3 linked regions of the Caenorhabditis elegans genome follow. The protein of the gene in region 1 purifies or fractionates together with the protein of each later gene. This does not show direct contact. Each region holds a gene or a part of one and is shown on either strand. Other genes may lie near its edges. The genes, in order: acp-6, far-6 and semo-1.

What was found.
Region 2: the proteins of acp-6 (region 1) and far-6 fractionate together in Caenorhabditis elegans (co-fractionation; one large-scale study listed by BioGRID). This does not show direct contact.
Region 3: the proteins of acp-6 (region 1) and semo-1 fractionate together in Caenorhabditis elegans (co-fractionation; one large-scale study listed by BioGRID). This does not show direct contact.

The regions. Positions count from the first base shown.
Region 1 is NC_003282.8:6,423,989-6,427,980, forward strand, and holds acp-6 (Histidine phosphatase family protein), read right to left. Parts: upstream 2,152-3,992; 5' UTR 2,150-2,151; coding exon 1,955-2,149; intron 1,906-1,954; coding exon 1,771-1,905; exon of another isoform or gene 1,701-1,770; intron 1,687-1,700; coding exon 1,542-1,686; intron 1,494-1,541; coding exon 1,111-1,493; intron 1,032-1,110; coding exon 783-1,031; intron 734-782; coding exon 695-733; 3' UTR 612-694; downstream 1-611.
Region 2 is NC_003282.8:13,326,766-13,329,970, forward strand, and holds far-6 (Fatty-acid and retinol-binding protein 1), read left to right. Parts: upstream 1-1,593; 5' UTR 1,594-1,595; coding exon 1,596-2,106; intron 2,107-2,154; coding exon 2,155-2,198; 3' UTR 2,199-2,549; downstream 2,550-3,205. Other genes in the region: pqn-74 (Chitin-binding type-2 domain-containing protein), read right to left, coding at 3,018-3,062.
Region 3 is NC_003282.8:14,049,618-14,057,352, forward strand, and holds semo-1 (Methanethiol oxidase), read left to right. Parts: upstream 1-1,582; 5' UTR 1,583-1,604; coding exon 1,605-1,778; intron 1,779-1,877; exon of another isoform or gene 1,878-1,898; intron 1,899-2,176; exon of another isoform or gene 2,177-2,197; intron 2,198-2,218; coding exon 2,219-2,316; intron 2,317-2,331; exon of another isoform or gene 2,332-2,352; intron 2,353-2,378; exon of another isoform or gene 2,379-2,400; intron 2,401-2,657; exon of another isoform or gene 2,658-2,678; intron 2,679-2,750; exon of another isoform or gene 2,751-2,775; intron 2,776-2,843; coding exon 2,844-3,214; intron 3,215-3,291; exon of another isoform or gene 3,292-3,312; intron 3,313-3,366; coding exon 3,367-3,569; exon of another isoform or gene 3,570-4,034; intron 4,035-4,119; exon of another isoform or gene 4,120-4,144; intron 4,145-4,207; exon of another isoform or gene 4,208-4,228; intron 4,229-4,354; exon of another isoform or gene 4,355-4,375; intron 4,376-4,551; exon of another isoform or gene 4,552-4,573; intron 4,574-4,691; exon of another isoform or gene 4,692-4,712; intron 4,713-4,877; exon of another isoform or gene 4,878-4,898; intron 4,899-4,915; exon of another isoform or gene 4,916-4,936; intron 4,937-5,178; exon of another isoform or gene 5,179-5,199; and 20 more.

The sequences.
Region 1 (3,992 bases):
AAATTCAACTTTTTTTGTGAAAAAGTCGAGATTTTGGCACAAAATGTTGAATTATGAAAATCTCAAAACTTTTTCAGCGGTCTCGTTATGAAAATCAGGTACTTTTAGCATCTAAACAGCATATGTATCATGTTTGGGAAAAAGTTTGGGTTTTTTATTCCCGTAATCCATCATATTACATTGACCACTTTTACCGCTACTTGCCGACTGAACTCACAATTTTTTCACTTGGAAATTGTTTTAGCATCTGCAAAAAATATTTATTTATTAGTTTTGATAAGAAAAAACGGAAAAAAATCGGTGAAAACGAAAGAAAACACACAGAAAACAAAGCAAGATAAATGGCCGCTGAAATTTGTCGGGGACTCGGCCATGGCCTAGAAACCACTTTTCCTCGTCCCTCGTGAGGAAAAAGTTGCAGTGTATCAAGTGGACGATATCCAAACACTTCGGTTTCCAGTCTGGAGTTTTTTTTGTTCTCCATGGAGCTTCACGTATCTTTTAAATAGAAAAAAAAACGATTTTCATCGCAAAAATAGTTCCAAATCGAGGTATACCCCTTTAATGAGCACAGTAACCCATTCTCCGTTATTTTGCAATTTTCATTGATTACTTTCGAATTATTTATTAAAAAGTAACTACATTAGTACATACGAAGCGAATCAAACGATTATTATAAATTCATGCAAAGAATCTAAGCCTTGTCGCATTGAGACTTCCAATCGGAGAAGGACTGAAAATGTTAATTTGTTACAATAATCTAACCTATTTTTCCAACTTACGAATTGTTTTGCATAGGCGAAGAATTGTTCCAATGGAATGAATCCATCCTTGTCAGCCAATTTCTTAAGTTTTGGAGTAAGTTCAGCTGGATAGATGACATGATCATCGATTGGGTTAGGATCATGGTTGAGAAGACGGACAGCTGGTTTTGGAAGACGTTTAAATTCAACTACGAATCCAGCGGAGGTGGTCAGTTCATCCTTCACGTATCCCATCAATTTCATGACGGAAAGAGTGATTTCGGTGTGCTGGAATTTGAAATTTGTATAATTTTTTCACAGGAAATAGAGGTTTCACATTAATATTGACAGGTTGTAAATAACTTACAGAAGCGTATCCAATAACTTGTGGTCCCTTTCCAGCGTTAGCATCAGCAACCTTATCAATCAAATTCTGAAGCCAATATCCAGCCATCAAGTTTCCGCATGGTCCGTACTCTGCACAAGCGTTCTGATGAACTTCAGCAAATTCCAGAATCTTAGCCTTCAGCTTCTCGAAAGTGTATCCTTTCAACTTTGGAGCCTTAATCCATGATGGATATTCAGCCTTGTAGAGATCAATTTCAATGAGATTATCGGCCAAATCAGCAGCTTTTCCCAGATTCTCCATGTTCCATTTGGTGTTGTCAGAGAAGTATTTGAGCTCAGCTGCGTTGCTTGTCTTGAGCTTCTTGAGGAATGGAAGGGAATCCTTGTCGATTGGGCCCCAGACTGTAAAATCAGGATTTATATGTTCACATTATACAAGTACAACCGTACCCTTATCATTTCCTTTGCATTCCTTAACAGCGTACATTCTAAGAAGTGGATCATCAATGGCATATGGGACTGGAGACCAATGATCGTACCATTTCTTATCCCAATCCCCCCATTGTTCTGGATCGTGGAGAGCAGCAGTGACAGTCTAAAAATTTACTGTTTCAATGTGGCAACTTATAGTTAGATAAATTTTGATTATTTTACTTTGAATTCGGAATTCGCCACATACCTGAAGAGTCATTTGGCATCTGTTGGCAGAACTGGAGTAATATTTAACTTGAGATGAGTTGTAGTTACGAGAGATCAAATTTCCAATAAAGCTTCTCAATTCCTTTCCCAATCCAAGTCCTTGACGCTTTCCGAACTGAAATATTACTAGATTTCATTTAGAAACTCCAATAATTAATACTTACTGAAGTCAATTCAGTATTTCCCTCATGTCCCCAGCTTCTTGGATTCTCTTGGAGAAAAACTTCTGGATGACGGTTTCCGTGACGAGTTCCGAACAGCACAAGAACCGAGTTCTTATCAATTGCAACAGACTTCTTTGGGAGAAGATGGGCGGCTGAAGTAGCCAAGATCAAGGCAGAAAATAGTAGAAGGTTCATACCTGAAAATATAATTTCTTTGTCTGAGGTGGCGTAAAATACAACGGTAAAGTTGAAGAAACATATCACTTTTTAATGAGAGCAAACCAAGAAGTATGAAAACTGATAAAGCTTCTCATGACTAGACTACCTACATGCCTATTCCACAAACGTTGCAGGTCCGCAAGAAGGCATTTACTGTTTAGACTAAAAGGTAGGAGATTGTAGAATGATAGATTCAGGTTGAAAAATACATATTCTGAGAGCTTTTCTAGACAAATTTAAAATTCTGGTAATCAGTTAATTACACAAGAACACTGAATTGCCAGTGAACTTCCATCTTACCCGGCGTTTATATACTGTTTTTGTTTTGTTTGAAACGATAACAAACTGATAAGATAACACGACAGAACACAATTCAATAAAATTGAATTAAAAGAAGATATGACCCGATTTGAAATAAAAAGTATCTTCAGGTGTTTTGTTACCGTTTCATTGAAACAGAATGAACAAAAAACCGTTAGTTGTTGGTCTAATAGAGAAACCATTAAACACGGAACTAATAATTTTATTAAAAAAATCTCAAATGAAATATCACGTTAGTTCAGAAGCCTGCGCCGGCCTCGTACCTTCCCGCGTGCTCAATGATCTGCGAACCCTTGCCGTACAACTTTGGTATTCGTCAGGTTCAACTGAAAGGCACAAGGCAGGCGCGATAGAAGTGGGCCTACAAATCAGTCACTATTTTTAAATTCAAGCTGTAAAATAATTACTTTAACATGCATCCATGGCACATTTTGGAAACTGTTACTAACAGAAAATTTCAAAATTTTACTTCTATCCTGAAACCGATCGAGCACTAGATGCTAACTTTATCTTAAAATTACCTTTTTTCAAGTTACAAAAAATAATTCTTTTAACTTTTCTATCTATGTACCTAGGATAGCAATACTTGAGTACTGTAAATCTAAATCACATGCTACCTAGTACGATCTTGTCATTAAAGGATTTCTCAAGGCCGTGACAAGAGACCAGACGTGACAATACCAAAATATCATGATAAAAATATAGATCACAAACAGAAAGGATGTTTGGATGTACGTTCTCAACATTTTGTGCCATTCTTTTATACTCTGTTAGGTACGACCAAACTTCAATTCAATTTGGCCTCGAAATTGTCATGGAAGGGAGAAATGAATTGAAAATGAGACAATTTTAAATGAATGAAAGAAAAAGATGAAATACACAAAACACATAGAAAACAGACAAACATGAAGAAGATCAATTGTTTATTTGAACTCAAAAACTCCATGTTTCACCATCTCATCTTCAATTCAATTTCTTCCAATTGAATACACCAATTACTCTTTTTTTCTCTGTTTCACAAAACCACAAAGATCGCGAGAAAACTTTAGTTCCGGTTTTTCTCCGAGAATCTGCGAGAGTTCAAGGTGAGTTCAAATGACCGTGAATTGCGCCGTGGCAATTTGAATTTCAATTAGACAGAATTTTTGAGACTTCATGAGCAGAAGGCTGAAGTAAAGTTTGCAGAGAATACGGTAGGATTTGTCTAGTATATATGCCTCCCGGGTTCCTATCGCGATGGCTCCATTGTGCTAATTGAGGCATTCGCGAGTTCGTAGGGCTCTAACATAATTTTCGGATCTTTGGTGCCTTCTGGAAGGGCTACACCAAAAGCTAATTGGAAGAATTACTACTGTAGAAAACTGTAGAAAATTTGGTTAAAATTACAAAGGGGCTAATGAAAAACACTTATTATTGGATAATTGTATTAAAATTGGGAAGGGCTGTTGTTTAGAAACGACTGACAAATATTGAAAATCAAGTAAACAAATTATTTCTT
Region 2 (3,205 bases), 6.9 Mb from region 1:
AACATTTCCGGCAAATCTGATATCCGGCAAACGGCGAATCGGCAATTTACCGTAAATGAAAATTTCCGGCAAATTGGCAAACCGGGAAATTGCCAGAATTGAAAATTTCCGGCAAATCGGCAAACTGCAAATTTACCGATTTGCCGAATTTGCCGAACGGCAATTGCCGATCACCCCCTGATTTACACCAGGGCTGCCGGTTTGTCGGTTTTTCGAAACTATCGAAATATCGAAAATTTTCGTTTTTCGGTTCTCCAATTTTTCGACTTTTCGATTTTTCGGTTTTGCTAAAAAAAATGCATCTGAATTCACTCGAAATTGCAAAAAATGGTGGTAGGCACGCACGTATTCAAGATATTTTTTCCTGATTTTTTGACACTACAAATTCTTGCCCTTAGTTCAAAGTTTCACTTTATTGAACTGAAAGCAAAGTTCCAATAAACCGATTATCAGTCCTTCCACTTGACACGTAAAACATGCAATATTTGACACTGATAATGTCAAACGGAATTCCAAAAAAAATGATAGATAAAAAATTTGATTGATATGCATTAAAACAATGCCTAATAGTTAGAAAAAAGTCAGATAAAGAGTTGGTAGGGACGGGACGATTCAGAAATAAATCAATTTTGAATTGACGGAATTTCTTTAGCCAAGACTCGCCTAATCATATTTCCGAAACCGATCAAAATGTTTTGTTCCAGTATTCTGAAAATGACTGCGAACTCATTTTTTCAAGAAGTTCAAGAAAAAGAGGTTCTCTTTTGTTTTTTTTTGTTAATTTAGGTACATTTTAAGTCATTGGAGATATTTCACAGAGACTATATTTTCAGGTATTTGTACTAAATGAGAAACTGGATCAGCTTAAACCCGATGCACTGTTGTAAATGCAACTATTAAGGTCAGTCATGGTAATCTCCGTAATTCTGTTTTACAGGTCACAGCTCGGTTTCTGTGGGCTCATTGTAGGGATTCAAACATGCGCTATAGTTTTCTCAAAAAGTGGCAAAAACTTAGTAATTGCCACTTTTTGACTATCAATTAAAATTTTTTCCAACCAAATTTTAAAAAGCTTTACAATGATATTGTTGCATTTTGGCACCACACAGATTTAGGTTCAAAAAGAAAACCCTAAACTTCATTACACTAAAAGTAGTTTTCTTAATAATAGAAATCCAGGGAAAGTGAGTCATGTGTCTCGAAGGGAACGTGACATTTCATTGGAACTCTCGGTTCGGTACACTATTTCGTTAACGATGGGTCATCCAAGGTCGTATAAAAACATGGCCGGCGGAGCAGGAGCTGCACAGCAGAAGCGGCGCCGAGCTTTCTTTTCTTTAAGTTCTGCCGTTTTTTTCTCATTTTTCTCATCTATTTTTCTTTTAGAAATATAAATTATAAAACAACATACAGTAGACATGAAAAAAAACTTTTATGGGTCTTTTTTTGAACTGTTGACTTTGTGAAAAAAATGGCCTGAAAGCATTTTCACATCTACAGTGCCGGCCAATATTCTATTCGCTTTCCGTGATTTTATGATATCCAGACTATTTCAATTAAAAGTGGCAACCTATATAATTTAAAATGTTATAGCAATGATCCGCATCTTCCTTGTCATAGCACTTGCCTCCGTCGCTGTCTTTTCTGCTCCAATTTCACGCTTACCACAAAGCTTAGACGACATCCCAGCTGAGTTCAAGGAACTCATCCCAGCTAAAGTTACTGAATACCTTAAATCCATCACTACTGAGGAGAAAGCTGCTATTAAGGAATTTATCAAAAGTGTTATGGGAGGAAACAAATCTGTTGAAGAATTGAGTGCTGATATCAAGGAGCGGTCCCCATCCCTGTACGCTAAGGTTGAAAAACTCGACGTCCTACTCCGCACAAAACTCGCGAAACTCGACCCCGCCGCTCTGGCTTTATTCGGGAAAGTCATCGCTCAGGGACTTTCTTTCCGGCAACAGTTCCATGCCGGATACCAGCCAACTCCTGAGATGGTAAAGAAACTCTTCAAGGGATACATTGCTGAATATAAAACACTTTCTGAAAACGCCAAGGCCACCATCACCGATGAGTTCCCCATCGTCGTTGAATTCTTTCAACGTGAGTTTTTAAAATTTGAAATAAGATTAAACATTCGGTTATTTTCAGACGAGAAAATTCAAGCCATCATCCAACAGATCGTGAACTACTAAATTGTTTTTTTTTCAATTATTTTACCAAAATAAGCTTGTTGTCATTTAAAAATAAGTACCTTTGAAATTAGGTGTTTTCATGAAACAAGGTACACTAAGAAAATTATCTCCACAAAGTTTTTTACATTTTGCAATTTGCACTTCCTATAATTGCTTAAGTACTCCACTAAAAAACCAATAACAATTTAAATGTTTATTAAATGTATTTCGAAATTTGAGATTCATATGAAATACAAACAAATTGCAAAAAGTAGAAAACTGCGAAAATTATTTTCTTATTAAACTTTGTTTTATGAAAACACCAAGCGTTTAGATACTTGGAAATTCTAATAAAAAAACCGACCCGCCTGATGTCAGCTGCTGTAGCTTTTTTTCTGGAACAGAGTTGTATAATTTTGAAAAATCCAAAGTGTAGAAAAAGTTTTCGTCAATACTTTGTTAGTTGAAAACATTTTTCCAATAAGCAAAGTATTTGAGTTTAAAATATTTGAACAAACCATTAAAATCACTGCAAATCCGGGGTATCAGACAAAAACCAGAAAAGTATTGAAAATATATATTTATTGAAGTACCATCATAAGTTATATAATAGTTATCATTGGAGAGAAAACCCTAGACATTGGACAATTCGGAATACAAATAAGGATTGGGGATTTGGGGGAAGACGGGGGAAAAGTGAGGGCAAACTAGGCGGTACAATTATGGTTGTCTATGCGTATCCGTTTCATGATTGTTGTTTTCTTCACGGTATATACAAAAAGGCGAGAAGATTGTAGCAGTTTTTGGTTCGATGATGATGTGTGTGAGATGTTCGATCGATTAGAAACGACGGGCCTTCTTGCGGAAGTAGCAGCAAACCATGCACTGAAAGAGTGTTCGTTTGCTTATGATCTATTCGAGCCTCCCTCCCCATTCTTACACACCCCCGTCCCTATTGTAATCGTCTCAATTGCCACACACAAGAACGGAAACCGGTTGAATTGGTTGCCGATCTCTTGCTTCTAGAC
Region 3 (7,735 bases), 7.6 Mb from region 1:
ACAGTTAAGCTATTAACGGCTTACGTTTGCTTAAAGTTTGCAAAAAAATGTTTAACTATTTCACTAAAACTTCATTAGGCGTTTCAATAAATTTTATATAATACAATGAGAAGCAATGTGAAAATCCAATAAAATTCAAATGAAAGATTGATAACATGCCTCATTTTACTATTGGTATGAGTTTTCTATTAGTATTGTAACAGTATTAACATGTAGCAATATTAACTGTAATTTCCCCATATATTTGTGGAGATTTTTATGCTTAAGGTGGATTTGAATGACTGTTCTCATGAGGAAATATGAACAACTTAATATTCAAATTTGTTTATATTTCCAATAATAAAAAAAAAATAAAAATAAAAAAAATTTCGCATGCTGAAAGACGCCGAAAGTTTTTTTTTCATCGTCGACCAATTTTTTTTAGCGAGTGACATTTGCCGTTTGCCGTTTGCAGCACCTAAAATAAATAAAAAATAAATAAAATTGTTGTTTAAACCTTTTTATTAGTGGAAAACGTAATAAGAAATTTGCAAATTTAATTAACCCAAGCTGAGTTTTTCTAAAAATTTGCTATATTCGCGATACATTTTTTTACTGTTTCAAGGAATCCTCATGGAGATTTTCAATAATTTACAGTTGATCCCATCTTCATCAATAATTTTGTCCTTCAAATTTTGGAATTTGTCGCGCGCACAACCCTGAATAATTGTTTATTATTTTTCTGTTAAGCCTAGTATCAGAAGATAAATTAAAAACGAAAAAACTCACTATTTTCAATTTCAAATAAATTCACGTTTTGTAGTCAGATCGGTTTTCCAAAATTAAAAAAAAATGTTATCAAAATATCTGTGCACTTTGAATCAGTCACACAATGTTCACAAATTCATCTCTAAATTCAAAAATTAATCTCAACCAGAAACGGTACTTGTAGTTTGTATCAGAATAATTTCCTACGTGTTTCTAGTAGATTTCTAGTTGGTTCATTGAACAATCATCTTGATGACTGCTAGAGATAAGACATAGAACAGCTAGTGATACCTTATCAATGTCATCCCCTTCTGTTGTCGATTGTCTTTTTCATTTTTGATTTTTGTGTTCAGTTCGTTATATAAATAGAGAGTAGTGGAAAACTGACAAAGTTCCTGCAAACTAAACCCGTCTGAGCCAAAATTAATTGTTTTCAAAACAGTTTTGTCACCTTTCCAAATAATCCTTTTCAAAAACAAAATTATTTTCAGTTTCACTGTGTGTTTATAAGTTTCACATTTTTCAGTTTTTTTTGGTTTTGCTACATCCGCGTTAGTTTTTTAACTTACAAATTTTCGCTGTATTTTTTTTTTAATTTTTACATTCCCCTTTTTAGAGCTGTGACAAAAAAAGTAATTTTTTCTGAAGCTAAAAATGTTTGCCCAAAAGTTTTCGTGCAACTTGTTTTCAAAGCTACAAAAATAGTGTCAAACTTGAAAAAAATTTAATTTTGCTATAGTTTAATTCAGCAAAAAATTGTATGTATGTAACTTTTTAATCCATACTACTGATTTGATTATATTGTTTGATTTTAAAAAAAAGTCAATATTTGCAGATCAAAAATCCCAAAAACCAAAATGTCCCCAAACTGTGGTTTAAAATGTCATGGTGGTCCAGGATATGCATCTCCAGCTGATGCTATAAAAGGACCACGAGAAGAAGTTTTATTTGTGACTGCTCCAAATGCAGCTGATGGTCCTGATGCCATTTTTACAGTTGATGTGAATCCAGAGAGTGACACTTTTTGTCAGGTAAATTTTATTTGTAAAGTTGATTTTTTTTCTTGTTTGGAGGAAAAAAATACTGTTTCAAAAAGACGTATTGAGTTTTAGGAATAACTAATTTTTTGATTGTCTTTTGTAGATCACGTCCATAAAGCTTGAAATAACTGTTTCTATATCAGAAAAATTGTTCAAATTACCGGAATAAAATTGCAATTTTGCAATTTTCATCTCTGTTGCATCAGCCAAAAATAAATCAGGAAACTTTGATTTGATCTCTCTGATTTCAAGGTTATCTCAAGCTTAAGAGTTTTAAATCGATTTGCACGATATATGATTGTATAGTAAAAATTAAAAATTATTATTTAATTGAAAAAATTATCGGTTTCAAAATATTGATATCCACTCGTAGTTTTAGCATTTAGAGATCGATCAATCATAACATTTTCCAGTAAAATTAATATTTTCAGGTGATCAGCCGAGTTGATGTGCCACATATTGGTGATGAAGTCCATCATACTGGATGGAATGCGTGCTCTTCTTGTCATGACAAACCAACTGAGAAGAGGTTAGTTAAAATATTTATTGTTTTAGGATGATACTATTACTCTATTAGTACAGGTGGCAAAATTAAATCAACTGTTCGAAACATCAAGTTTTGTTTAAAAATTTTTTTAATTAAATTTTCATTTTTGAAGTGTGGTTTTCCGACTTTTTTTTTTTAAAAAGTGGTCACAATAACATGTTTTTTTTTATTCTTCAAACAAAATCATCATATATTTGATAAATCTATAGATTCTCCCTTGTTTGTTTTTCTGATTTTTAGATTTTCTCAAGAAAAAACTGATAAACCTAAATTTTTCCACGACCCTTGATACGGATGCAAAAGCTTTGTAATAAAATCAGATCAGAGCGACATTCACGAGAAGATCATTTTTATAAATTTAGTTAGACTTGAACCAATTTCTTGAAACAGTTTTTTAATTCGAATTTACAAACTTCACATTTCAGTCAACTGAAAGATCAATAAATTTTTAGATCGGAGAACTTTCATTAACAAACCAAAACAGTAGAATAATTTCTAAATAATTTCAGATCCCATTTGATCGTTCCTTGCCTGAACTCTGACCGTATCTACATTATCAACGTAGAAAATGAGCGTAAAATCTATCTTGAACATACAATTGAACCATCAAAACTTCATTCTCTAAACCTTTCATTTCCACATACTTCACATTGTCTTGCCGATGGAAATATTATGATTAGTACTTTGGGAGAAGCTAATGGAACTCCATCTGGTAACTTTTTGTTGTTGGATGGAAAGACATTTGAGCCGAAAGGAACATGGCCAGCTGACGAGAAGACTGTTCCGTTTAACTATGATTTCTGGTACCAGCCAAGGAGAAATGTGATGATTTCTACGGAATGGGGATCACCGAATCATATTAAAAAGGGATTTAATCCAGGTGGGAAAACTGAAAATACTTTTAAAAAATCACTGTTTCAACACCTCTTGTTTCATTTTACCAAAAATTAAAATTATTCCTTGCGGCATGAGCCATCAGCATCACTAAAAACCAAAAAGTTACAAATTTTTTTAAAACATGAAATTTTCCAGCTCACGTCGGAGAGGGTCTCTACGGAAACAGTGTTCATATTTTCGAATGGGACTCTAAGAAATATCTTCAAACAATTGATCTACCACAGCCACTTGGAGCACTTCCACTTGAAGTTCGATTCCTCCATGAGCCAACCAGTGAGCACGCTTTTGTGGGATGTGCTCTTGGATCAGGAATTTTTAGAATTCATCCTGTTGAGGAGGTGAGTAATATTCAATAGAATTTTCAGAAAAATTGAAATGTTTCAATAAGTTATTATTTGTTTAGAAACTGAGATTAATATGTTAAAACCGTAGAATAGAATCAAGATTAAAATTATTGTAAAACTAATTTGCCGAGCTCGGAAAATTTTGAGAACTGCCGCACATCCTTGATTGGGAGGTAGCAAAGTTTCCAAAACTGTTGCTTCTTCCAGAGTACTCAAATTTTATTCCATGAAAACTCTTCAGTAGAGTGTTTGATTTTTCAAAAGTTTCAGTCAATTGAAAATGGTTAAACAGTTTTGGAGATCAATGCCGTGATTTTACGAAAACATTGAAACATTCAAAAAACTTTTCAGTTTCAATTTGTCCTCATAACACACTCTGTTGTTTTTAGTTTAGTTCTGTTGGTATTCCTGTCATCTATTGAAATAGATCCGGTTTTTAGAATTCATCCTGTTGAGGAGGTGAGTAATATTGAAAAGAATTTTTAGAAAACTTTTAGAAAACTGTTTCAATAGGTTATCATATTGTATCTTATTGGAAGTTTATTTCATTTGCTAATCCAAAAAAACGTATGAAATCAAATATAAATGATCTTCGTAGGGGGAGTTGACAATTTATCAATAGTACTGATATTTTCGTTGTCAGTAATTGAATAGCAGTGTTGTAAGCTGATGTGTAACTTTCTGGGATCACCGAAACATTGCATTAGAAACTTTCAAGTTTAAAAATAAATAAATTGTTTCAATACGTTGTTATCAAAACTTCCGTTCTATTCAATTGATTTTTTTTCATTCCCGAAGTTTTCTGAGCAAGTTCTTTGGCAAAATGACTAACTTTCGAGAAAAATGTGGACATTTTGAGAAAATCAGAGCGCTTTCGTACATTTCAAATCCTTTAATGCTTTGGCATACATGATTAGGGCATAATTTGAATTTGAAATTCAGAGAAAGTTGTGTAGACCAAACTGCTATTTTTCTTTTTTTTCATTTGGAAGAACCAATATTAATTCAAAATAGTTTCAGTATTTATAGACTACTTGAAACATATAATAATTTTTAAAAAATATCTTTGAGTGTTTTTAATAATTTATTTTTAAATCAGTTTATAGATTCATTAAACGTTTAACAATGATGCAAATACTAAAAACGTATTTTTCCGAGTTTTTTAAAATTAGGTTAGTGAAACAGTAGATTTTTGATGAACCTTTTTTTAAAAAGCAGCATGCATTTAGTTTTGACAAAAAGTTCAAATCGATTTTTTCTGCGTGACTGTGAATCAAGAAAACTCGGTCAATTAAAGAAAGAAAAAATATTTTTTTTTCGACACTAAAAAATAATTTTAAAGCGCGGACATTATAGTCTCAGTGAAACTTTATTCAAACCAAAACGTTTAATCAGCTAATTGAAACATTAAAAATTTTATGATTTTGTTAGTTTTTCTAGCAATGTCAATGCAATCAAATAATTTTCAAGTAAGATGTTTAATGAGTTATAGACTTTTTTATTAAATTTTTGAAAAAAAAACCGATTTCAGATTTAAGTAAAATTATCTCTGCTTCTGCTGCATTGCTGCGAAACAAAAATTCCTTTCTGTGCAAAGTATAGTCTCACTGGAAATCAAGTTCGAGTGACAATTAGAAATCTCACCGGGTTTTCTAGATCATCTGAAACATATAATTTTAAAAAATTGACACCTTGTTCAACTTGAAACATTTAATCAGCCAATCGAAACATTAAATGTCTCATGATTTTTAAAGCTCTTTTAGAACAGTCGATAAGTCACGCCACAGTTCAATTGAAAACAATTTTCTAGCGAGATGTTAAATGAGTTTGTTGAAACAGTAGATTTTCGTGTAAACTTTTGAAAACAAAAATTACGTTTTAAATAAAATTATATCCACTTCAGCAGTGTGCCCTTGAAACAAAAAAGCTCGATCAAAAAATTTATTTTTTGTGAATGGCCACCAACTTTTCAGGCAAAATTACAAAAAAACATAAAATTTACTGTTTCAAAAAGTTAATATAATTTTGGCAGCGCATATACCTACACTTATTTCGACAGTTCGCGATAACCTCTTTTTGAAAATAAAGTTTTTCAGAAAAGTTGCTTCTTTCCTGTTCTCGAGGTGTTCTTTTAACACACTTTGTATTTTTTTTCTTGTAAAATCTCAAAATTCTGATAGTCAGTATGAAAATAGTTGCCAAATGTTTGTTGAATACTACTGAAAACAAATCTTCAGTGATACGTTGAATGAGAAACATTCAATTTTTCAAATAATTCCAGAACTCAACAACCCATGCAGCTACTCTCGTTGCCTTCATTCCTTCTAAAAAAGTAAGTGGATGGGCTCTTCCAGAAATGCCAGCTCTTATAACTGATATCCTTATCTCAATGGATGATCGTTTCCTGTATGTCTCGTGTTGGCTTCATGGAGATATTCGTCAATATGACATTTCTGATCCATTGAAGGTGAAATTGAATTCTCAAGTTTATATTGGAGGAAGTGTACATACGGAATCAAATGTAAAAGTTCTAGAAGGTGAAAAACCAATTGAAGCACTTTATGTGAAGGGACGGAAAATTGAAGGAGGTCCACAGATGTTACAGTTGTCATTGGATGGAAAGAGACTTTATGTTACAACTTCTTTATACAAGAAATGGGATGATCAATTCTATCCAGAACATGTCAAGTGAGTGCTACTTATGAAAAAATTTAGAATTATTTCTGAGAAAAAAGTTACCGTTTCATAAATGTAGTATATTTTGAGCAAACTATTTCCGCTCACTTGTGGGGCTATTCGCGAAATGTAATTCTTTTTTATTCATTTTATTCATTGAACCTTTGTCCTTACGAAACAAATTATCTCGAATTTTGTAGTTTACACTAAAAATACGCTCATGGTGAAATTATTGTTTAGAAAAAAAATCACCGTTTCAAAAATCTTTCATATTTGCAGCGATTCTCTCTCACTTGCTGAGTTGATTTTATCACGAATTCATGTTTTTCTTTGTTTTTCTAGTCTAAATAATTTTTAAAAAAAAGAACAACTATGAGAAATCGATAAAACAGTTCAATAGCTGCAGCACCGAAAGTTTGAAATTACACTACTCTTTAAAGGCGCACACACGTTTTCCGTTGAAAAAATAGTCACGTCGAGACTTGGTAATGTTTCTTTTCGTCCGCTTAATAATTCATGATAATTTCAAAAAAAAAACACCAAATTCGTCCTACTTTCTCAATGGAGCGCGTTTGCAACCCTGTCATTTTTCAGATCTGGCGCCACAATGGTTCAAGTCAACATTGATCCAGAATCTGGAAAAATGGAAATAAATCGAGACTTTTTGATCGATTTTGGAAAAATTGAAGGAGGTCCCTATTTGGCTCACGAGATGCGTTATCCCGGTGGAGATTGTACATCGGATATTTGGATTTAATTTGGTTTTTTTTAAAATGTTTTGCATAAAAAATTAGCTTGTACATATTCATCACAATTCATTCAGATTTTCAAAAAAAAATTGAAAGGATTTTTCAACTCATGATGCAACTAGAAAAACGGGGGAAACCAGGCGAATAAATATTGAAAAAAGGGGATTTTTGTAATGTGAACGAAGCAATCATCATATATGGTACAAAGAATGTGGCGAGTTGAAATCACGGGAATTTAGTAGAATTGCACAAAAAAATTATGGATTAGAAAGTAGGAAGAAAATATATGAACATCCGGAATTCTCCTCAATAAAAACTGGCTCCTTTTATCGATTGTCTTTTTCATTTTTGATTTTTTGTTCAGTTCATTATATGAATAGACAGTAGTGGAAAACTAACAAAGTTCCTGCAAACTAAACCCGTCTGAGCCAAAATTAATTGTTTTCAAAACAGTTTTGTCACCTTTCCAAATAATCCTTTTCAAAAACAAAATTATTTTCAGTTTCACTGTGTGTTTATAAGTTTTAAAAATGAAAGACATTTGATTCAAATGACCTACAACTTTTCTGAATATCTCAAAAATGAAAACTCAAAAAAGATGATCACTCGAACTAAATGCCCAGAAATTTTATTTTTGTTTTTAAATGAATTTTTAAAATGAAAGACAATAAATTCAAATGACCTACAACTTTTCTGAATATCTCAAAAATGAAAACTCAAAAAAGATGATCACTC